Mus musculus: one gene and its partners. The protein of the gene in region 1 interacts with the protein of each later gene in a pairwise test. Links are inferred from orthologs where the notes say so. Each region holds a gene or a part of one and is shown in the gene's direction. Other genes may lie near its edges.

What was found.
Region 2: the proteins of Ldoc1 (region 1) and Lats1 interact in a two-hybrid assay, tested with the Homo sapiens proteins (2 studies listed by BioGRID and IntAct). The two-hybrid records come from large-scale screens. The link is inferred for Mus musculus from reciprocal best matches to the Homo sapiens genes LDOC1 and LATS1.
Region 3: the proteins of Ldoc1 (region 1) and Dppa4 interact in binary tests that used the Homo sapiens proteins (3 or more experiments, as listed by UniProt). The two-hybrid records come from large-scale screens. The link is inferred for Mus musculus from reciprocal best matches to the Homo sapiens genes LDOC1 and DPPA4.
Region 4: the proteins of Ldoc1 (region 1) and Poll interact in a two-hybrid assay, tested with the Homo sapiens proteins (2 studies listed by BioGRID and IntAct). The two-hybrid records come from large-scale screens. The link is inferred for Mus musculus from reciprocal best matches to the Homo sapiens genes LDOC1 and POLL.
Region 5: the proteins of Ldoc1 (region 1) and Bysl interact in binary tests that used the Homo sapiens proteins (3 or more experiments, as listed by UniProt). The two-hybrid records come from large-scale screens. The link is inferred for Mus musculus from reciprocal best matches to the Homo sapiens genes LDOC1 and BYSL.

The regions. Positions count from the first base shown.
Region 1 is NC_000086.7:61,707,262-61,712,081, forward strand, and holds Ldoc1 (protein LDOC1), read left to right. Parts: upstream 1-2,349; 5' UTR 2,350-2,448; coding exon 2,449-2,904; 3' UTR 2,905-3,689; downstream 3,690-4,820. UniProt on the Homo sapiens protein: May have an important role in the development and/or progression of some cancers.
Region 2 is NC_000076.6:7,711,413-7,715,493, forward strand, and holds part of Lats1 (serine/threonine-protein kinase LATS1), read left to right. Parts: intron 1-1,088; coding exon 1,089-1,598; 3' UTR 1,599-4,081. UniProt on the Homo sapiens protein: Negative regulator of YAP1 in the Hippo signaling pathway that plays a pivotal role in organ size control and tumor suppression by restricting proliferation and promoting apoptosis.
Region 3 is NC_000082.6:48,289,439-48,294,643, forward strand, and holds the end of Dppa4 (developmental pluripotency-associated protein 4), read left to right. Parts: intron 1-1,575; coding exon 1,576-1,876; intron 1,877-3,472; coding exon 3,473-3,668; intron 3,669-4,260; coding exon 4,261-4,294; 3' UTR 4,295-4,854; downstream 4,855-5,205. UniProt on the Homo sapiens protein: May be involved in the maintenance of active epigenetic status of target genes. May inhibit differentiation of embryonic cells into a primitive ectoderm lineage.
Region 4 is NC_000085.6:45,550,866-45,555,465, reverse strand, and holds the end of Poll (DNA polymerase lambda), read left to right. Parts: intron 1-246; coding exon 247-375; intron 376-1,788; coding exon 1,789-1,957; intron 1,958-2,142; coding exon of another isoform or gene 2,143-2,216; exon of another isoform or gene 2,217-2,295; coding exon 2,296-2,660; 3' UTR 2,661-3,191; downstream 3,192-4,600.
Region 5 is NC_000083.6:47,604,084-47,609,288, reverse strand, and holds part of Bysl (bystin), read left to right. Parts: intron 1-2,287; coding exon 2,288-2,450; intron 2,451-4,895; coding exon 4,896-5,034; intron 5,035-5,205. UniProt on the Homo sapiens protein: Required for processing of 20S pre-rRNA precursor and biogenesis of 40S ribosomal subunits. May be required for trophinin-dependent regulation of cell adhesion during implantation of human embryos.

The DNA.
Region 1 (4,820 bases):
CTTCTATTTTAAAGGAATAACTAAAAAGACTGCTTTCAAAGATACTTCGTCATTTTTATTTCATCAGCGATTATTTTTTCAAAGAAAATTTTGGTATGGTCGAAGCTAGAACATAATAGACAATTGGAGAATGTTTTTGGACACACTGTGCAGCCACTTCTCTTAATTATTATTGAAACACCTGTCTCTCAAGATCCTTTCCTTTGCCAGATATCTGGGGAGTCCCTTCTCTGGGCAAAACCAAGCCCCTCTACTGCACTGTCTTATATTTAAAAGTGGAGGCAGGTGATAATGTTGACATTTAATATGATGGTTACTATATAGATAGTTGAAATAGGGTGGGAGCCACAAATTGCTGATAGAGAAGACAATTCAAATATAGATGAGATAGCTGGGAAGACCTTTCTCAAAGCAGTATAAAAATGAGTTAGGCTGCTAAAAGGGAAATAGGATGGGTAGAAGGGCAGAGGCTAGAACTGTCTGATATGTGTGGAAATCCATAGGCAGGTCAGCAATAGAACCTAACAGGAGGTCAGGTGAAGATAGCAAGGAGAAGCAGGACCTTGTATGTTATGACCAAGAGTTTGCTTTTTACTGGGAAAAGCAGAGAGGGAAAAACTATTGGAAGGCCTTGAACAGGGAAGTGAAAGGGTCTAACTCACCTTTTAAAGTGTTCTGGGCAACTTACTGTACAGAGTGCATGCTGCTAAAGGGCAAGGCTGGCAGCTAAGGGATTCGATGTAGCAGGGTAGCAGATAGGACCAGAATTGATTGAATTTGGAGATATATTTTTAAAAGCAGACCCATTGTGTATCAGCTTGATGACCCAGAACGAAACTTAGTTATCAACAACTAATCACATTCAAACTAGGCAGACAGGCTTATTTAACAGTGCACATGGTAGTTTAACTACACAGGAACAAAGGTACTCATAAACAGGACATGATAAGAATCAAAGATAGGATGTTTACAAGTGGACACCCTGTATACATTTTATAAATCTTTTTTTGGGGGGAGGACATTCTTTTTTCTTTTTTATTAAATTTATTTATTTTTTTCACTTTACATCTCAATATCAACCCGCTCCTCTCCTCCCAGTGTCCCCTCTCCTAGGTCTTTCCTCCATTCCACCTTCTCTTCTCTTTTGAGAATAAAAATCCTCACAAAATAACATCCTCCTCCACACACACACACCCAACAAGTCAAACCCTCTCCAAATGAGGACAGACAAGCCAAACCATTTAGAGTAACTGGGTCCTCAAGCAGGCAGGCAGCAGACACAGGGACAGCCCTTGCTCCAGTTGTTGGGGAACCTCCAAGAAGACCAAGCTGCACATCTGCTACATGTGTGCAGGAAGGCCTAGGTCCAGCCTGTGCTTTCTCTTTGGTTGGTGTTTGCAAATCTTGTTAACAAAATTGCTTGTCAAAGAGAAGTCTTTTGTTGCATACTATTTATTTATTTAATGAAAGTGAGTCTACCTGTGAGTCTTTTAGACTTGGAACCCAAATGACCTCCTGCACGGTGGCCCACAGAGTCAGCGTTATTTCTCCGAGTGAGATTTAAATGAGCAAGGAAATGTGTTAACCAACCAGACACTCCTCACCCCCAGAGCTTCCAGGGACTAAACCACCGACCAAAGAGTATACATGGAGGGACCCATGGCTCCAGACGCATATGTAGCAGAGGATGGCCTTGTCAGGCATCAAAAGGAGGAGAGACCCTTGGTCCTGTGAAGGCTGGAGACCGCAGTGTAGGGAAATTCGAGGGAGGGGAGATGGGAGTGGGTGGGTGGGTGGAGGAACACCCTCATAGAAGCAGGGGGAGAGGAGGATGGGATAGGGAGTTTTGAGGGGAGGGAGGCGGGAACGGGGATACCATTTGAAATGTAAATAAAGAAATATCCAATAAAAAGTAAAAAAAGAAAAAAAAATGTGTTAAGAAAGGATCACTTTAAAGAAGCTGATGGCCACAGACCCACAAAGGAACACTGAATTAGATGAACAGGCTGCCTGCAGAAAAGTTTCAGCTGGAGCAGGCCAGCCCTGAGGGCTGAGCATCTGTTCTCCACTGTGGCAAGCTTTGCTCCCTCAGCCTTCCTACTTCCAGGTGGAAGAACTGGCGGGACCCCGCAGCGAAGCTCCTGGGTCACGCCCTGCTCCTCCTCAGCCACATCCACTCTGGCCACCAGTCCCACCCTGACCACGCCCCCACGCCATCCCGCACCCTTCCCAGCCACACCTTCCTTACCGCACTGCGCTAGCGCACAGGTTTGTAAAGTGACCCTGTGGGTGGAGTTTCTGCCGCTGGCTGGGACCCCTCCATTTATTGCCCAGGGTCCGCACTCCTCTGAGGACCCGCACTTCCTGCTCAGCCTCTCTGTGCAGCTCCGTGGAGCCGATCCGAGACTGAGACCGAGACCGAGACCGAGACCGTCCAAGCAGTTAACCATGGTGGAAGAGCTGCTGTCGCTTCTGCACGCGCTTCTGGATAGGCACCAAGCCCTGTGCATGGAGAACCACCAGCTCCTGAAGCAGCTGCGACTGTTGGTGTGTGAGCGGGCCAGGCTGCTGCGCCAGGTATGTCCACCGAGCTGTCCGGTGCCCTACCCCTCACGGTTTAGCGGCGAGAGTGGTCGGCTCCCTGAGTTTATCATGCAGACCATGTCTTACATGCTTGCGAATGAGGAGCACTTCTGCAATGATGCCATGAAAGTGGCATTCTTGATCAGCCTCCTCTCCGGGGAAGCTGAGGAGTGGGTGATGCCTTACATCGAGTCAAATAGCTACGTCCTCGGTGATTATCAGGCCTTTGTTGATGAGATGAAGCAGTATTTTGGCTGGGGTACCGACGACGAAGATGATGGTGATGATGATGAAGAGGAAGAAATGGAGGAAGATCACTAGGCCGGAGCCCCCTTAGGCCTAGAGGTGGGGGCCTTCACGCCTTTTCATTCCAACCCCCCACCCGCCATTCCTGCTGCCTCAATCTCTCCCTTTGCATGGCCATCCTCTTCCCCGCCAGTCTGTTTGCTCCATCATTCCCTTCAGGACTTGTCTTTGTTCCAGTTACCTGCTGTGAGTTGGGCCTGGACCTTGCTCTGAAACTCACTTTGGCCTCAGGCACTTATCCTAATCTGAACTCTGTTCGGAGTTCCAGCGATTTTCCAGGTCCCTATTAGAACTGGTCAGACCACCTGCATTCCTGCTGCTGACATCCACTGGAACTCAGGCCAGTCCGCCATCTGCCCAGAAGCAGATTCCTGACATTTCACCTCCACTCACCGAATTTCATCTGAAGCACTTTTCAAGATAAGGACCAAGAAGATGATGGAGTTGCTACTCCACCCATTCAGACTCTGTTTTGGACTACTCACCAAACCTTGAAGGGGCCAGCCAGTCTTTACCGACTGGTTAGTTCTGTACGTACTACCAGGTTCCACATCTGCCTGACCAGAACAGGAACCTGATGTGCCTGCCGGACAGTTAAAATGTTGACATGTCTTTTCTCCTATGCATCAGTTTTGCACAGCACGTTTCCTTTCAGAACTGCAGCAGCCTCACAGATGTGTCCATGTGGACAAGGACTACTAAAATAAAAGCAAACGGACAGGCATTCAGCCCAGATCCTCTCTAGTACTTGAAAAAAGCAATGTAATTCTTTGCAATAAATATCAAGCACTGCAAAACTAGCAGCAAACTGTTGTCTTTTCATGGTTAAGTGCTACCATTGGCTATTGTGACTCACCTCCATTATTTCATTGTGGTTGGGGAACTTGGTTCAATCCCAGTATTCTCACTTTCATTTTTGGGCTCCAGGGGGCCCTGTCATAGGGTTTTAAAAGCTGTGGTGAAGGAGCATTGTCTGGGGCTTCCAAGGTGACATATAAAGGGTGGCTGGGTAGGGGGGCTATCATCTTAAATTAGGTCACTTTGGAGAAATAAAGGGACATTATTAACATTTAGACTGACAGTAGAGGCATATTACTGGGCACAGTGAAGTTTCCTAACATGGCAGAGAAGTTTTATCCATTGTCCTTCTTTCCTGTGGGTGGCAATTAGCAAGATGCTTATGTCTCCTGAGCTAGAACCTGGACTGGAGTTTGTGAGTTGACATCTCTCAGACAGTCCAGAGGGTAGGTACTGAGAATTATCTGCCCAGCTTTGTTTGTGTGTCAGTCCATTATGTTACCCTGCTGAAATGAACTTGGTAAAGGGGTATACACGGTAACCAGGAAATATTGGAAAGATCTAGGGTTTCCTGAATCTGCCTGAATGTCATTTTACTGGTTTAAAAGCGAATTCAGACATAGAACTTTTAATTAATTTAAATAATACATCGTGGTTTAAGAGTTTCAGGCATGACCACACTTATTTATTAAGCTGCTAAACCTCAGGGAGGAATGAAATGGGGGGCGCTGGTCATCATATGAGTAACCTGACAGGTGTGGGCTAGATCCTGTCCACAGGCATTTGGAGCAATGCCAGCTACATTTTTAGCACCCTATAAGCATGGGTAGTTCCTTCCAGGCCATAGCAGCAAAGGCTCAGCTAGCAGCATGCTTGCTTGAGGACTGGCTGTAATAGGAATATGTCAAGGTTACCAGGAACTAAGTAGAGTGGAAATAAAACTGTGACAGGGGCCCATTCTCTTTGGGGCTCTTACAAGATACCAGCAAGACAAGTGTTTTATCTGGTAAATACACAAAGATCAGAGCGGGAGTCTTTTTCAGGCCTCAGGACACTTACTTTCTTGAGAGTGGAGACAGATGGGGGTAGGGAAGACTCAACAAAGAGGCCAAGGTCTGCGTGGAAATGGGGCT
Region 2 (4,081 bases), on another chromosome or scaffold:
ACATAGCTCAGGTATAGAGCTCTCTACTTATGATATCATACCAACATTAAGAATTTTTATGTTTTTTAAAATGATTTATTTTACTTATATACTACACTGTAAGCTAGCTGTCTTCAGACACACCAGAAGAGGGCATCAGATCCCATTACAGATATGGTTGCTGAGAATTGAACTCAGAACCTCTGAGCTCTCAGTGCTCCTAACTGCTGAGCCATCTCTCCAGCCCCCGAATTTTTATGTTTTAAAGTATTTCAGATTTTGAAGTTTTTGGATTGGGAATGTTCAACCTGTTTAAGCCTAGCATAGCTTTACACACCTTAAATTCCAGGACTTGTTAGACAGAGGAAGATCTCTGTGAGTACCAGGATAGCCTGGTTTACTTAGCAAGTTGCACAACAGCCAAGGCTACTAGATCCTGCCTGTCTCAAAAATCAACAAATGGGGATGGAGAAATGGCTCAGCAGTTAACAGCACTGACTGCTCTTCTGAAGGTCCTGAGTCCAGCAACCACATGGTGGCTCACAACCATCCATAATGAGATCTGATGACCTCTTCTGGAGTGTCTGAAGACAGCTACAGTGTACTTACATATAATAATAAATAAGTCTTTGGGCTGGAGTGAGCAGAGGTCCTGAGTTCAAGTCCCAGCAACCACATGATGGCTCACAACCATCTCTCCAGGTACAGTGTACTCATACATAAAATAAATAAATATTTTTAAAAAAATCAAACAAATGGCTGGGCAGCAGTGGCATAGGCTCTCAGGAAGCAGAGGCAGAGGCAGGCGGATCTCTGAGTTAGCAGACAGCCTGGTCTACAGAGCTAATCCCAGACAGCCAGGGCTACACAGAGAAACCCTGTCTCAAAACACAAAACAACAAATATCAAACCAAAGCAAACAACCTTACTGTGACTCTTCTCACGGGGAGAGGACAGGAGAGTATATGTTTTCAGCAGTGATTATTATTAAAGGTAAAGTACCCGGCAGATCATTTAGAAAACCAAGTAGTCCAGGAAGACATTTGGTACAAAACCTGGGAAATTACTGTGTTTTATCTCTTCCTAATTTTTAAAACTCTTCTCTAAAGGTTATCAACTGGCAAACTTCTCTTCACATCCCTCCTCAAGCTAAGCTGAGTCCTGAAGCCTCTGACCTCATTATCAAACTTTGTCGAGGACCAGAAGACCGCCTCGGCAAGAACGGTGCTGATGAGATAAAGGCTCATCCATTTTTTAAGACCATCGATTTCTCTAGTGATCTGAGACAGCAGTCTGCTTCATACATCCCTAAAATCACGCATCCAACAGATACATCCAATTTCGACCCTGTTGATCCTGATAAATTGTGGAGCGATGGCAGCGAGGAGGAAAATATCAGTGACACTCTGAACGGATGGTATAAAAATGGGAAGCACCCCGAGCACGCTTTCTATGAGTTCACCTTTCGGAGGTTTTTTGATGACAATGGCTACCCATATAATTATCCAAAGCCTATTGAGTATGAATACATTCATTCACAGGGCTCAGAACAACAGTCTGATGAAGATGATCAACACACAAGCTCCGATGGAAACAACCGAGATCTAGTGTATGTTTAATAAACTAGGAGATCATTGTAAGAATTTGCAAGAGGCCTGAAGTGCAGGGGTTTTTGAAGTTTTGAGAAAATTATGCAAATGTGACAGAGTTTGTGTGCTCTGTGTACAATATTTTATTTTCCTAAGTTATGGGAAATTGTTTTAAAATGTTAATTTATTCCACCCTTTTAATTCAGTAATTTAGAAAAAATTGTTATAAGGAAAGTAAATTATGAACTGAGTATTATAGTCAATTCTTGGTACTTAAAGTACTTAAAAAATAGTGCTCTGTTTAAAAAGAGAAGCCTGGTATCTTTTGTATATATGATAAATAATTTTAAAATTCAAGAATTTTTGAAGATTTTTGAAAGACAGTTTTATCTTGCTTTAACCAAATATGAAATATAACCATATTTCCCTTGTAACTTTGGGTTTAGTTCCCAATACGCTAAAGAAATCAAGCCGTTGTTTTAGAAGGTAAGGTGTTCCTAGAGTAATTTTAATCTTGAAGTCATATCCTGTAATCACAAATACAGAGCAAAAACAATATGTTCACTAGAAATAATGCAGCTTACCCCTTCCCTCCCCAGAAGTCTTCAACCTAACCTAGCATTTTTCTTTCAGATACCGGCTTTAAAGAAGCCAGAGCACTGCTAGTTTTGTTTCCAGATTGGTATTAATGCTGCTTCCAGTTTTTGTTTTATTGGGATTTTTGTTTTGGTTTGGTTTTGGGTTTTTTTTCGAGGGGTGGGGGTATTGTTTTGTTTTGATTTTTTTTTTTTTGTTTTGGTTTGGTTTTTTGGGGGGCAGGGGATTGAGACAGGGTTTCTCTGTGTAGCCCTGGCTGTCCTGGAACTCGCTCTGTGACCAGGCTGGCCTCAGACTCAGAGGTTCACCAGACTCTGCCTCCCCCGAGAGCTGGAATTAAAAGTGTGTGCCACCACACCCAGCTGTTTCCAGTTTTAAAAGGGAACAAAGTTGCCATGAATTGAATTTTCAAACTGAAACTAAGATCTGTAATATTTGTATCTTAAAATTAGAAGAAAAATTTCCATCTCCTAAGTAAAGAAATTATTTTCAGTTTGTAATTTTTTTTTTTAATTTACGTGTATGTACTCACTAAGAAAGTACATTTTCTAGGGGCTAAGGATATGGCTCAGTGGTAGAGCACTTGCCTAACATACACAAAGCCTTGGGTTCAGTCCCTAGCCCCTGCCACATAAAGGTACCTTTGTTGTACAGTGACCAATCTTGATTGTGTCATTGATGCTATAGATTTCCTTTTTCAGAACAGTGCTACAATACAAATTGTTGGCAAAGGAAATGTAACTATTTGGCACTATTATACCTAAGAGTAGATTAATTGGTTAAAAATAATTATTAATTAACTCTTAATTGGGATGAGCATCCCTAATTAGATACATAGTAGTTTAGAAAGTGAAAACTTCCTAAGTTATTTAAGATTAATGTCCTATTTATATAATGTTTAGGTTCTAAGGAAGAATTGTGGATCCCTAACAAACATCTTAGGAACATCTTTTAGGAAGAAGAATGGGGCTGTACTCTGACCTTAGTAAAGTTTGTATGTATATTATTTCATTTTTTCAAGGTTTATTGACATGAATTGCTTTATCAGACTTAATGTTTGTGGCTAGGAATGATGTTTACCTATCTAGCTTTCTTATAAAAGATAATTTGTTTAAAACCATATGTATAGTAAAATTAAAAGCAAAGCTATTTGTTTGAATTGGGGAGAGAGAAAAACATTATTAGCTTACACTTTCATGTTGAGCTTGGAACCTGTCACGTGTACAAGTGAGCCTTCAGACCATAGATCATTTTGAGATAAAGACTATGTGAACTCAGGCCCTACTGAAAAAAAGTGTGTATCCACACATACATTAGAAAGTGTTGCATGCACTCTCAAGAGACCCTGGGTGTGATAAAACTTCCCAGACAGCAGGTTAAAGACCTACATCCTGTGAGTCAATTGCTATATCAAAGTAAGACCTTTGATATCCTTTGACTTTATTGCACAGCGCTCAGATGAGCACGTTTGTAAACAAGTAATGATCTGCTCTTGGAATGAGCCCGTGAAAGCAACACAGCACAGACATGTCTATAACATGAAAGCAGCACAACACAGACATGTCTATAACACTGTTCTAACGGCACTGGTGTCTTGTGATTCTGAGGGCTCCTGATGAGAGCTGTCACCAGACAGTCTTCACAGCATGGAGCGTCTGAAGTCTGAAGGCCCTATGCAAAGCATGCATTGAGGGAGGTTTGGCCTGGGTCCCTCCCACAGGTCAGAAAGACAGCCCTCTGACCTTCGGGCTCTTCACTCAGACTGACATTTTCATTTAGTGGTTTTACACCTGGATCATGTTCACAACGCAGGACTGCTAAGGTGCTGCCCCTCCCCACGACCATGGTGCCTCAGAATGTAAACACTAATTCTACGTCCTTCTTTGCTTCCCTCGGACAGTATAAGCTTCTAGCGT
Region 3 (5,205 bases), on another chromosome or scaffold:
TCTGAAAATAAAAGTGGCTTCAAGCTCAAGATCCACCTACCTCACGGACATGGCCTTCCAAGCCCTGCATGGAACTTTGCACTTTAAGGGATAGTGGCAGAGGGAAAGGTTTGGTTCTTTTTTTTTGTTTTGTTTTTGTTTTTTTTTTGTTTTTTCGAGACAGGGTTTCTCTGTGTAGCCCAGGCTGTCCTGGAACTCACTTAGTAAAGCAAGCTGGCCTCGAACTCAGAAATCTGCCTGCCTCTAAGTGCTGGGATGAAAGGCATGCGCCACCACACCTGGCTGGTTCTTCTAATAACTGGCATATCAGAGAATAAATTGAGGGATTGCCTTGACTCCCTTCTTCCCCCTCTATCCCCAAATGGAAGAGAGACCATGAATAAAACTAGGTAAGGTGGGTCCTTTTTATTTTGGTGCTGGAAAATGAATCTAGGATTTTAATGCATGAATGCATGTTCTACCACTGCGCTGCACCTCACACCACAGTCCCTAACCCACCCCATCCCTGCTTTTGGTTTTTGTTTGGGTTTTTGTTTGTGGGGGTTTTGTTGTTTTGTTTTGTTTGTTTTTTGTTTTTTTGTTTTTGTTTTTGTTTTTGTTTTTGTTTTGAGTCTATGTAGCCTAGGCTGGCCTAAGAACTTCAAGAACCTCCTTTCTCGGACTCTTAATTACAGGTGTGTGCCACTATTCTTGGATAACTCATTTATTTGTTTTTGTTAATTTCTGTTTTTAAGATAGGGTTTTGCTAGATAGTCCTTGCTGGCCCAAAACTTGGTAGCAAAATTCCTGCCTCTGCATCCTGAGTACCTGGCCAGCATTTTGATTTTTGAGAATAGGACTTACAACCATTTTCTAGGTTAGTCTTGAATTACTAAGGCCAGGCAATCCCTTCTCTCTCTCTCTCTCTCTCTCTCTCTCTCACACACACACACACACACACAGACACACAAACACACACCGCCTCCCAACTCCCAAGTAACAGACCACAGGCATGCCCTCTTCTGGCATAAGGGCACAGAGTTCCCTGCATCTAGAGCTATAATAGTGAACCACCATTCAGGTGGTTGGAAGAAGCCACATTTTCTACCAACGTAGTGAGTGCTTGTGACTGCTGCATCATCTCCTCCACCCCACCCCACCCCATCACAGTTTTCTATGTGTGTGCTTGTGGGTGCACATGTGCTACAGGTTAGAAGACTTCGCTGGGTGTCATCCGGTCCTTGCTTTCTTCTTTGTTGTAAGACAGAGTCTCTGTTGCTTGCTGATGGATATAATGTTGGCCAGGAGTCTCTGGCTCCACCTCCCATCCTATTATCACAGGAGCATTAGAATGGAATTACAGGGGTTGGGGATTTAGCTCAGTGGTAGAGCGCTTACCTAGCAAGCACAAAGCCCTCGGTTTGGTCCTCAGCTCTGGAAAGAAAAAAAAAAAAAAAGACTGCAATTACAGGTGTGAGCCATTTGTGTAGCTTTATATGCGGATTATGAAGATATGAATTCCAAGTCTCTCATGGCAAGTACCTTACCCACTGACGTGTCAGCCCTTAATGTTTTCCATTATCTATAATACCCTAGCTGGAGTTGAGGAACGTCCCTGACTCAGCCAAAGACGCCAGGTTGAAGACAGCTCACAAAAAAATGAAGACTGAACCGGGGGAGGAGTCTGAGGTGACAGTTCCTCTGGAAATGGTCCCTGTGCCAGAGGAGCAGATACCTGCCCTCATTGACCCTCCTATGCTCTATGAGGAAGTCAGCACCACCGTAGTGACTACACCTGCCACTGAGGCCGTGTTAGCATCTTGGGCCAGAATTGCATCCAATGCTAAGAAGTACGAGGCAGTGCCAGCCGATGCTTCGTCCTCATCAGAAGTCAAAGGTTAGAATCAGTCACAGCCACCAGTGATTCCTGGACCTCACCCGTGCTATTGTGTTTAAGTTCTACTTTGGGCAGGGTCTCACTGAGAGCTAGTATTCCTTTGCAGTAAGAAGAATCCTCATTGTGTTTTGTTTTTTTGTTTTTGTTTTTTTTTTGTTGTTTTTTGTTTTTTTTTTTTTTTTTTTTGAGGTTTTGTGTGTCCCTGGCTGTCCTGGAACTCGCTCTGTAGATCAGGCTGGCCTTGAACTCATGGATCCTCCTGCCTCTGCCTCCTGAGTGCTGGAATATGCACCACAATCACCTGGTAGACAGGAAAGAACCTTTTACCTTGAATTTCTATGAGCTACTCGGGTGATAACGAGGCTGTTGATCCAGGAAGTCACGCTTTGAAAATAACTTCGTATTACTCGCTCACCAAGCAAGAAGCCATGTGCTTGGTAGGCTTTCTTCCTACTTTTTTTTTTTTTTCATTTGAAGAACGGGGGGCTGAAGACTAGGATCTCTTGGTATGTGTTAAGTTGATGATGTTTAACAATTTACTCTTTCTTCTCAATAACATAAGCATAACTAATCAGACATGTCATAATAAGCCAATGACCCCAACATCTGAGTTCAGGCTTCCTGAGACTTTCAAAATGATAAGAGAGCTTGGGTTGTAAGAATAGCAAAGAAATGCAATGAAGGAAAATCATGCTTAGCATGATAACAGTGGTTGAGTCTAGGGCTAGAAAGATGGCTCAGAGGTTGAGAACACTTTTTTTTTTTTTTTAAGATTTATTTATTTATTATATGTAAGTACACTGTAGCTGTCTTCAGACACCCCAGAAGAGAACGTCAGATCTCGTTACAGATGGTTGCTGGGATTTGAACTCTGGACCTTTGGAAGAGCAGTCAGGTGCTCTTGCCCACTGAGCCATCTCTCCAGCCCCCATTTGGGTGTTTTTTTTTTTTTTTTTTTAATTTATTATATATATATATATATATGTATATATATATGTGTGTGTGTGTGTGTGTGTGTGTGAGTGAGTACACTATAGATGTCTTTAGACACACCAGAAGAGGGCATCAGATCCCATTACAGGTGGTTGTGAGTCACCATGTGGTTGCTGAGATTTGAACTCAGGACCTCTGGAAAAGCAGTCAGTGCTCTTAACCACTGAGCCATCTCTCCAGCCCTTGGGTTTTTTTTTTTTTAATAGGGTGGTTTTTGATTGTTGTTTATTTTCTCTAACTCCGGCTGTCCTGGAACTAAGCTCTGTAGATCAGGCTGACCTCAACCTGACAGCCTGCCTCTACCTCCTTAGTGCTGGGATTAAATTCCTGTACAGCCACCAACCAGCAATTTTCTGGGAGTTTTGTTTGGTGTATGTGTGATGTGTTAGAATCACTCATGCAGGCTAAAGGAAATACTCTACCACTTGAGTTACATCGATAACCCTAAAGCCTGGAGGTTTCTTGTATACTTTCATGGTAGGTAACAAGATGGATTGAGATGAAGCTTGGATTCCCAGTCTTACCTCAGGGCTGGCATTTCAGAGAGGCATCAAGTCTAGGCTGAAACTGGTGTGTTCGTGTTAATTCTCTTTGCTCCCACAGGGGAAATGTGGTGTGTGGTTCATGGGACCAGCCTTCCTGGGAACTCGCGTGGTTGGGTTCGGCTGCAGTTCCACGCTGGACAAGCCTGGGTACCCGATAAGAAAGGAAAAGCCATTGCCCTCTTCCTGCTTCCGGCCTGCACATTTCCACCCCCACACCTGGAGGACAACATGCTGTGCCCCAAGTGTGTTCATAAGTGAGTGCTGTGCGCACTTAAGTTGCCTGCGGGAAAGGTTCATTTTAATTAGCTGTGTTGGAATATTACTTATCTTGCTCGTGTAAGTAAGCACCCAAGGTGCTGCGTTTCCAGGTCTGAAACTTACTATGTAGATTGTGCTTGCTAATCTCAAACTTGGAGCCAAAAATCTACCTTCTGCCTCCTACTTGGCATTATGCCACACTAATATGTTTTTGTGCGCCTTTGGGACGGCCAGGAGCCAAGGCTCACCTAGAGATTCTCACTGTCCTGTCTCTATTTTCCCAGCCTGAGATTGCAGGTGTCCCCCCAGGCCTGGCATAGATGCCATGCTGGGGATCAAACTTGACGGTTCATGCATATATTCCCAACAGATCTTTCTTGTCTGTTTTAGATCTTAGTACCTTTTCCTGGTTCTGGTCTCTGATCTGGGTATGACACACCTTGTAATCCCAGCACTTGTAGTGTAGACTGGGGTGGATGATTGAGAGTTCAGGGCAAGCCTGATCTCAGTCAGAGGTGGGGGGGGTGGTGAAGTGGAAAAGGAAGACATAAATAAATGAATGAATCCATAAATACACTTGTTTTCTAGGAACAAGATCTTGACTAAGAGCCTCGAAGGATAAAGGACAGATCTCTTGTTTGAGCTAGCTGCTGGCGTCACTCACTCTTGTGGTGTGATCAGCAGAGCTGCGGCTGACGCTGAGACTGATAGAAATCTACATCTCTGCCTTTGAAGGTGCCTTTCTCATCCAGAACTTAAGGGATAGTGTAAGTTAGTTGATGCTTAAGTTCACGCAGTTTGAAAAAAGCCAGCGAGGCCACCTCTGCTCGCTGTGATGACTGATCACTGAGAGTGAACTCTTACTCTTTTGTGAAGATAAAAATACATCCTATGTGTTTTGCTGCAAGTAGGTCCTGGGGCAGGAGGATGATATCTCCAGATAACAATAGTTGCTAGTCCTGTCACCAGCACAACGGGCGTCATAACCAGTTCAGCAGTCAACTGTAAAGACTTGGCTTATACCTGTAGCCTCCGCATGCATGTCCTCTTCCCTGGGTTGTAGTGTGTTGTTAGTGTTTAATACTTGTGTTTGTTTTCTGCTGTTGTAAAATATTACACTAAATCTGGCTTGTGGCTTTTGTTTTTGTTATCTGAATGGTTAAATTTCCCCTGAGTTCCTTCTGCCCCTGTCTGGATGCCATGTTTGAAAGGGCTTTGGAACAATGCTTGGAGCAGAGGGAAGTAGGGTGGGGGTGGGGGCACCGTCCCAAGCCAGGAAGAGGCAGGCTACTCACAATCCATGTGCTCTCGGTGTGATGGCAGTGAAGGCCACCATCACCACTTCTTCATGTCCTCTGTGCCAGCAATGCACAGTTTTTCCATAAAGGAGATGAATAAACAAGGAACGCACTTGCTTGGCTCCTTCAGAGGACTGAGTGTTGGTTAGGGCAGAAGCTTTCTGTGAGATTGCTAGGCTTCTGTCTGTCCCAGTGTCATCCCCTGATGGACGACTGCTGGTTGTATTTGATGTCA
Region 4 (4,600 bases), on another chromosome or scaffold:
AGTGGCTCTCAAACTTGGCCATGCCAAGAATGATCTTGGGAGTTAGTGAGCGTGAAGCCCTGACCCATTTTAGACCGAGGAATGAGGGACCAGCATGCCCAGATCACGTCCCACTGAATAGAGGCTGGACTTGATTGGTCCTGCCTTCTGTCTTCCATGGCAGCTGCTGTGACAGCCACCCATGACTTCTGGCCTGTTTATTAGTCCTGGGTCCTCATAGCCTCTTTTCTGGTTGCTTTCTTCCAGGGCTTCCGAAACCTAGAAGATCTCCAAAGCCTGGGCTCCCTGACCGCTCAGCAGGCCATTGGCTTGAAGCACTACGATGACTTCCTGGACCGCATGCCCAGGGAGGAGGCTGCGGAAATTGAGCAGACGGTAGGCACAGCTCGAGCCAACAGCTCCTGAAGCCCTAGCTGGGCAACCCCACAGGCAGCGGAAGTTAAGAGGTCGACAGAGATTGTGTCTACCAGAGCTGTAGGTCCAGGAACCCCAGGTGGGGTGGGCACTGCAGTGGCAGCCCTCTGGTCTCAGGGTCACTAAGCATGAACTCTGGGCACTAGTCGCCTAGCATGGGGCAAGCACAGCCTCAAGGCCTGAGTACAATCAAGGCCTGAGTATGTCGTTCAGAGGTAGCGCTCCTGAGCATGCCTAAGACCCTGCCCATCCTCAGCATCACAGAAAGGGGGAAAAAAAAAACAAACAAAAAACATCTAGTTGGCCAAGAAATCAGGTTTAGCCAAGTTAAAGGTTCAGCTTAGAGCTAGGGGCTGAGTCTGTAAGTTCATGTGCAGGGTTGAGTCAAGAGAGACGGGGTATACCAGATGTCTGCTATTTGTATAGTGGCATTGGGAGCAGGCTGGTACATGGGCAGGGGTCTTGGTGAGTGACAGATGAACCAGTCTGTTAGCAGAAGGATCGGAGAGACCTAGTGAGGAAGAATAAGCCTCCACCAGCGCCCACAGATGGAACTATGGGACCGGTGCTGGATGGATAGACCCATCACAGAGCTGCGGTGCTAATGCGGACCCCTGCACTCAGCTACGGTGTCCGGGCACAGAGAATGCCCTGGTCAGCCGCCAGCTCCTAGCCCATCAGAAGAGACCGGCTTCCCCACTGCAGGCTGCCTGCAAGCAGGGCTCCAGCTGTAGGGATTCCGGTGGGATTGCTCAACCAGACGGCCTCTTCCCATTCTCCTGGGAGGTCCAAGAAGGGATTGAAGGGACCAGCAGAACTATGTCAGGGCAATTGGGGTGTCCTGGCTGTGAGCACCCAGGGCCCCTGAAACTGCAGTGTCCTGCAGAGGGGGCGGGCTAGGTCTCTCAGGTCCTTCTTTAACAGGCCGGCCTCACCCCTCCAAGAACGGTGTGGGCAGCTCCTGGCCTCCCCTTCCCACAGGTGCAGTGGTATTTCGTGCTTCATTTTCTCCCAGCCGGGTTGGAGGCTGTCTGCCAGCCACCTGCTCAGGCCTCGACCCTGAGCTTCCACACAGCCATCAGCTACAGGCTGCTTGAGCTGCATGGGCGTGGCCTTTGTGATTGGCAGGCCTTTCACAGGCCTGGCCACTGGATGTGAGTCGGGGGCCAGAACCCACGGAGTGTCACTCGGCTCTTGCACAGGAGCCTTCTGCTGAGGCAGAGCCAATGTCCTCAGGCCTCTAACAGGCTTGCCTCTCCAGTGCCCCGGCACGTCCCCTCAGCTTAATATGAATCCCGGGGGAAGGCTGGGGCGAAGGCTGGGTGCTGTCCTGGGAGAGGCCTCAGACTCTCACCCCTCCCTGTTCTTCCCCAGGTCCGGATATCAGCCCAGGCCTTCAACCCTGGGCTGCTGTGTGTGGCTTGTGGCTCTTACCGACGGGGGAAGATGACGTGCGGGGATGTGGATGTACTCATTACTCACCCCGATGGCCGATCCCACCGGGGCATCTTCAGCTGCCTCCTTGATAGCCTTCGGCAGCAAGGTATCCATTTTGACTTTGGGTGAGCAGGCTACCAGTGGGCAGCCACCTCCTAGCAGTCACTTCCAAGTTCTCGATTTGAGACAGACTGGGTGGGAAAGGGCTCTGCAAGAATCCTACCTCTCCTGGGGCCAAAGACAATAAAACAGGGGCAGATCTCACCTGATGACACTGCCCGCTTTCCACAGATGAGGAATTGGGCCCAGAGGGGCGAGGCCACTCAACTCAACACACAAATAGGCACAGGGTATGCTGGGAATAAAGATCCTTAGGCAACCTGAGAAGGTGAGACTATCAGGCCTGGCTCCCTGCCCTACCAGACATCCCTTGTGTTGGACCAGGGTTCCTCACAGATGACTTGGTGAGCCAGGAGGAGAACGGCCAACAGCAGAAATACCTGGGTGTGTGCCGGCTCCCAGGGCCCGGGAAGCGCCACCGGCGACTGGACATCATCGTGGTACCCTACTGTGAGTTTGCCTGTGCCCTGCTCTACTTCACCGGCTCTGCCCACTTCAACCGGTCCATGAGAGCTCTGGCCAAGACCAAGGGCATGAGCCTGTCGGAGCATGCGCTCAGTGCAGCTGTAGTCCGGAACAGCCAAGGTGTCAAGGTGGGGCCTGGACAAGTGCTGCCCACCCCCACGGAGAAGGACGTCTTCAAGCACTTAGGCCTGCCCTACCGGGAGCCAGCTGAACGGGACTGGTGACCTAGGACTTGGAGCAAGGGGAACCATGTTGAATGAACTGACTCATGTAGCCATCTCCCACCCTCTTAGCTGTGCCTCGCTTTGTAGGTTACGCTTGCCCTGAGTGACCAAGCTAGGAGCTTTGGGCCTGCGGGGAAGAGCCAGTCTGATTCTGAGAGCCCGCAAGCTCTCTCTCCTGGACAGGATTTATGCTGCTGTCCCCTCTCCTCCCAGTGACAGGTTTTCACACGGCCCCTTCCCTGTTCAAGCAGAACAGGTGGCTGGTTTCAAGGCGGTTTCCTGCACTGAAGGCCCGAGCTTCCCTTTCCACCCCAAGACTGATGTAGCTGTGTGGGGTCAGCAGGGGCTGCAGGAGAGGGAAGCAGCTGTGGGCTCAGCGTCTTCCGTGAGCCTTCACAGTAGAGAAAGCCATGTGGATTCTCTCACCCGCTCACTTCCTGTGCAGCTGGAGCTGCTGGGGGTGGCCTGTCCAGACCATGAGGGTGGCTTCTAAGGGCCCTGGGGCCTAATAAAGTGCTTCTGACATTCAAATTGCCTGCTGTCTGTGAGCTGCTCCAACCCCACCTGTTTGTCCTCCATTCCAGCAGAACAAAGATGGGAGGGGCTCACTGTCAGAAACCCACTGACTGCCTTCTAGTCCAGCCTGGGGTACAGGGTAAGAGGGGGAATTGGAGTCGATACAAGGGGCCCCTCTCAGTCCTCTCTGTGGCCCTAAGATGGGACTATTGTGGGACATGAGCCAAGGTGACAAGTTTGAAGGAAACAGTAAGAGATGCCATGCAGGAGTGACCTGGAAAAGGAGCAGGCAGGGTAGTAAGGAGGTGACCATCTAAGAGGTCACGAGACTTTAGGACCAGTTAGGAACCAGTCATAGGGAGGATGCTGGGGTTGGGGAGATCTGGCTCCACGGTTTGATTGATGGCCCAGATTGTAGTGAGCCCGCAGTGTATACACTTCTGAGTTGGGCTTACGAGTCAGGGAAAGCGGGCAGAGGTGGAAAAATTGATGGATCCAGAGTCAGAAAGCTTCCTAGAGAGACCCCAGGACCCACTGGGAGATTGTGGGGTAAAACATGAGGCAAGCTTAAGCCCAGATAGTCTGTGGAGTATGAAGGGCGTGTGTGTGTGTGTGTGTGTGTGTGTGTGTGTGTGTGTGTGTGTGTGTGTGTAGAAGGGTGTGTATGCATGTTTCTATATAAAGGTGGGCATGTGTTTCGGTAGAAACCCAGAATTGGTTTTTGTTTCCTTGATCTCAGTCCTGGCCTCCTTTTTGTTTGTTTGGGTTTTGTTGTTGTGTCTGTTTGTTTGTCTGGGCAGTGGTACATACCTGTAATTGCAGATACTCAGAAGGCAGGAAAGTCATAAGTTCTGGGCTAGCCTGGGCTATGTAGGAAGTTCAAGGCATCTCAAAGAGAATAAAACAGTTCTGGATGCTAGCATCTTGCGATCAGACCTTCAGCTCAAGCCCGTATCCCTGACACCAAAGCTAGAGGACCTCCCCTGCATAGGTCATGCTGGGAAAAATGACCAATCGTGAACAAGCCGCGTCCAAGGATCCAAAGCTCCGTGAGGGGCCTTTCTTTCTGTGGACTTTCATTTCTGCATAGAGTGGCTCCTTTTTGTTTGTTTGGGTTTTGTTGTTGTGTCTGTTTGTTTGTTTGCTTGCTTGCTTTTCAAGACAGGGTTTCTCTGTATAGTTCTTGGCTGTGCCAGAACTGTTTCTGTAGACCAGGATAACCTCAAACTCAGAGGTTGCCTCTACCTCCAGAGTGCTGGAATTAAAGGTGTGCGCCATCACTGCCCACTTTAGCTTCTGGTTCTTTTTTTTTTTTTTAAAAGATTGATTTATTTATTTTATGAGTGCACTATAGCTGTCTTCAGACACACCAGAAGAGGGCATCAGATCCCATTACAGATGGTTGTGAGTCACCATGTGGTTGC
Region 5 (5,205 bases), on another chromosome or scaffold:
TGTTGTCTTTAGAGTATTTCAGAGCCAGACCACTTTCCATTCACCTGAGACACTCCCTGATTAAGCTACCAGGGTCTCTCCCCTGGATCACTGTGGAAACATCGTGCTTTGAATTCTGTGACCTCTGTGGTCCATTCAGCAGCTAGAGATTGATGGCGTCCTGTCTGGTCTGTCTCTGTTTCAGGTCTGACCACAAGCTAGGGACAGGATAAGATAATGCTCACAGCTGGTGAGGTCCATGCTTTGAGAGAGCATGAGCCCTGACTTCCACTCACAGCAGCTTGTAGTTTCTGAGCTACAGTGTAGAAGACAGATCTCTTGGGCCTACTGGGCAACCAGTCTAGCCTAATCAGCTATCCCCAGGTCCCAGTCAAATCCTGTTTCAAAAACAAGGTCATCAGCTCCCAAGAGTCACTTCCATGATGCAGGGTTCACTCATATACAAAAAGCAAATGATCACAACAACAAAACACCACACAAATGTCAGTGACTGTCTCCTGATTTTCTCTCTTTTCCCTACGTCGTATTTCATAGCTCTTGTCTTCCTTTGTTTAACATGTATTTTGTGTGCATGTGCGTGGCATGATGTGTGTAGAGAACAGAGGAAAACTCTCAAGAGTTGGTCCTCAGCTCTTCAGAACACTTGTTCTTGCAGAAAACCCAAGTTTGGTTTCTGGCATTCATATGGCAGGCTATAGCTGTCTGTAACTCCATTTGCAAGGGATCAAATGCCATCTTCTGATGTCATTAGACACCAGGCACACTTGTGCACAGACATACGTGCAGTCAGCACTCAAACATTAAAAGTAAAATAAACCTAAAACAAACAACCTTGGCTCTCACTGGGTATGCTCTGTGTACTCTCTGGAGCTCTATATAATATACCCTTAGTCCACTTCCATAGCAACTGATCTGTTGCTATGGTAATAATTCAACTACTTTGGTTTATTAGACTCTTTCCCAACTGCCTTGCCAGCTATGTGCGGTATTTCAAAAGTCAGCCCGGTGTATTGGCACATGACTTTAATCCCAGCACTCAGGAAGTACCCAGCCAAGACTCCATGGTCAGGACCTCAGGATGTGGCAGGAATGGCTCAACCCACCTATCACCCAAGTGAGGACACAGAGACCTCTTATTAGTTATGAAAGCTTGGCCTTAGCTGCCTTGTTCCGAACTCGCTGATACAACATAATTGCTTTATACTAGTCTACATTCAACCACGGGGCTCGTTACTGCTCTTCAGTAACAGCACGTGTTTCTTCCTCTGTGTCTGGCTGTTGAGTCCCCTCACATCTGATTTCTTTCCCAGAGTTCCTATCTCTGCCCAGAAGTCCCGCCTATCCTTTCCAGCCCTGCTATGGGCCACTCAGCTTTTGATTAAACCAATCAGAAGGTGATGGAGAAGAAGTTTCCACAACACTGAGACAGGTGATGCTTCATTAAAAAAAAAAACCAATGCCGACTGTACTCAGCTCTCTGCTGGAACAAAGATTAACATGTGAATAGTACACAGGCAGCCTTTACATGGAACACACGGGATTAACCCAACATCAGAAGCTCAGCCTTCAGCACTGTGGTGCGTGTTTGGAAAGTGGAGGCGCGAGAACAAGGAACTCCCAAGTCATCCTCGACTACCTAAGCCAGTAACTTAAATGTGTTGGTTGATCAGAGTCCGAATGCCACTGCCCAGCCTTAGAGCCTTCCAGGTTGGCTTTCCGTTTCCTTTCTGGCTCCTTAGTGCCCAACACTCTAACAGCATTACTTTCCAGGACGTGGAGCATGCTCTTGCTCCCAGACTGCCCATCCAGAGCCTCCTCAGCCTCTGTACTCATCCAAGTGCCTGAGGTGCACACTGCCTCCACCATGGTTTTAGTTTCAGCACATGATGCAGTTCCACTGTGCAAGCAACATAGTGGGAAGTCAGGACCCACAGTGCCTACCTACTGTGGGCACATCAACTCTTCTGCCCCGGTTTGAACTGGGTATAGCAACAGTACCTATTCCTTGAGGTCATCTGGACAGACCAGGTTACATGTGTGTAGTATAGAATGGATCCTTCTTGGTCATTGAGGGGGGACATGTCATCCATTCACTGAGGGGACATGTCATCCAGTCTTTACTGGCCTTATCATCTCTCGCTTCGTGTGCTGTATTTTCTATCAAGATTCCAAGTCTCTGGGGACAAAAGGATAGTCCCTCTGCAGGTGTCCCTCCTGCTCCCTGGGTGTGCTGTACGTGGAATGGGGAACTGACTCACAAGCCCCTGCGGCTGGGATTATCTTGTAGGGCCGGGATTGCCACAGGATGGATCAGATGAGGAGGATGAGGAGTGGCCTACCCTGGAGAAGGCAGCCAAAATGGCCGGGGTGGACCACCAGGCAGAGGTGATCGTGGACCCTGAAGATGAGCGTGCCATTGAAATGTTCATGAACAAGAATCCTCCCGTGAGGTAAGGCTTAAAGGTTGGACCAGTGGGTCCTGGTAGAAAGTTCATCCAGACCACAGCTGTTGGTCTGACCATTGCCAAGAGTGGCCCCTGAACGGGAGTGACCCGGATTCCCCTTTGCCCATCTGATCTGGAACCTCTGGATTACCGGTTCCTTGTGATAGCTGGGGATCCGTTTAGTAGTGTTTATTCTTGGTACGTTACTCTCATAGCTTAGTCTTATTTTTTTTTAAGATTAATTTATTTATGTATGTGAGTACACTGTAGCTGTACAAATGGTTATGAGCCATCATATGGTTGTTGGGAATTGAATTTTAGGACTTCTACTCATTCTGGCCAACCCCACTCGCTCTGGCCCAAAGATTTATTTACTATACATAAGTACACTGTAGCTGGCTTCAGACGCACCAGAAGAGGGCACCAAATCTCATTACGGGTGGGTGTGAGCCACCATGTGGCTGCTGGGATTTGAACCCAGCATCTTCGGAAGAGCAGTCAGTGCTCTTACCTGCTGAGCCATCTCGCCAGCCCATAGCTTAGTCTTTAACTCAGGGTTTTCCATCTCAGTTACAGTGTTGGGGCCAATAGCAGCTATCTCTGACAAAATGTTCCCAGAGGGGTTAAAACTACCTCTGGGTAGAACCACAAACGTACCCCCATGTGTTATAAATGCTACTTCTAAACATGCAGTTATTTAGGCTGCCTGTGGTCAGATTCTTGGTTCCATTCAGATGGATCTGGCCTCATTGAGAGGACTGGGCTTAGGGCAAAGGGGCTCAACCAGTTTATTCTTCAGAGTGGGGTGTAGTACACCACTATCATTAATAGTACGGTGATGAGCAGCTTGGGTTCAGAGAACACAGGAGAACCCTGTCCCCTGAAGGTGTCTGACAGCTCTGAGAATGGTCATGGGGTGTGATGTGCCCCCCAAAGGCTCTCGGGCAGCACCTCATACCCAGTGGCTCTTGATCTGACAAACTTAGCAGAATGTTTTCTGCAGTTGCTATACGGAAGTGACAACATGGTGGAAAGGGGGACCGTGGGCACTCTTGAGCAGTGGCTGCTGGCATCTTCAGAAACCAGGCTAAGGGTCTTTGGGAACACAGCAATCAGGCCTTGTCACTTAAGGCACATTGAAGACGCTGCGAAGCACCCAAACTAGAAGTCGAAAGACTAAAATTTACCCTTTCCCTGAGAAAGTCTTAGGGCTTAGGAGAGTTGTTGGTTGGCCCTGAGTCTCGATTCCCCGGCCTGGGCAGTGCGGGGGAATAAAAGCACCTGCCACCAGTGTCATGCAGACCACAGGACACAAGTCTGGAAAGTGTCAGATTCAGTGCTGCTCGGCACAGAAAAAGACTGCAGAGAAACTTTTTCCCCTTGTGCTGGAAGCCAGAACCCAGGTCTCATCCTTGCTAGGCAAGTGCTGGGTGAGTAGGATAGGCTGGCCTTGAACTCACAAAACTCTGCCTGCCGCTGCCTTCTGAGCGCTGGGATGAAAGGTGTGCACCAGCGCTGCCTGGCACAGAGCTCCACTCTGCACTCAGAAGTTGCTCCCCGTTGTGTGAGCAGTGGGAGGTGAGCTTGAAGTAAACAGCCCTCAGGACCTGCTGGCTCTGGCTGAGAGTCGGGCCTGCTGCAGTCTTAGATTTTACCCTTCAGCTGACTGTCCAGGGGGGTCCTTTTACTTCCCCAGTTTACAGATGAGGAAACTGAGGCTTAGAGGAGTCAAGTGACGGGCCCAGGATCATACAAGGACCAGAAGAGCCGGAGCTGACTTCAGGGCCTAAGGGCCTAACGTCCCCACCACTCTGGCTCTGCGTCAGATGCAGAGACATCCAGGGCCCGTGCTCTGCAGCACTTTGAGGCGGCTAAATGGACATAGAGGGGAACTGAGGCTGTGCATCCCAGCGGGATCGAGATTTGTCAGCGTCCAGGGGAATTATACATTGCTCGCTTCCAGCTTCCCGTACACTAAAATTAGAACAGTGACAGGGACGTGGCCCCCATGCAAGGAGGACATGCAAGTTTGTGAAGCATTCTTGTTTTGTTTGGGGATGTTTTGTGACTTTCTTTTTCCCCTCTGAGACGGGGCTTGCTGTCTGGCCTAGATCTCCCTATGAAGACCATGCTGACCTTTCAACTCACAAAGATCTGCCTGCCTCCCAAGTGTTGGGATTAAAGGCTTACACCACCACTACTGCCTTTCTTTTTTAATAAACAGAGCCAGGCATACCATTAATCCCAGCACAAAGGAGGCAGAAACAAGTGGATCTCTGAGTCTGAGGTCAGCCTTGTCTACAGAGCCAGTTCTAAGACAGGCAAAGCTAGACATAAAACCCCTGTGTCAAATAACAACAACAAAGATAAAAAACAGGTTGAGGGGACGTTACAGTTTCATGGAAAGTGACCCCAATTCTTTCCACCTCTCTTTTTCCCGTGTCTCCATAGGCGCACCCTGGCTGATATCATCATGGAGAAGTTGACGGAGAAGCAGACAGAGGTGGAGACTGTCATGTCAGAGGTATCGGGCTTCCCTATGCCTCAGCTGGATCCCCGGGTCCTGGAAGTTTACCGAGGAGTCCGGGAGGTAAGAGCTAAGTGGTGTGTGTGCTGGGATATCCTGACTCGGGGTGGGCTCTCATCCATGGCCCCCACCAAATAAGCCATGGCGATCAGAACAGGATTGGGGGAGAGCTGATAGGCTCAGGTTCTTGCACTGTCTCTTATTGACCCTGGAAGTCTACTAAACTCCGGTCAC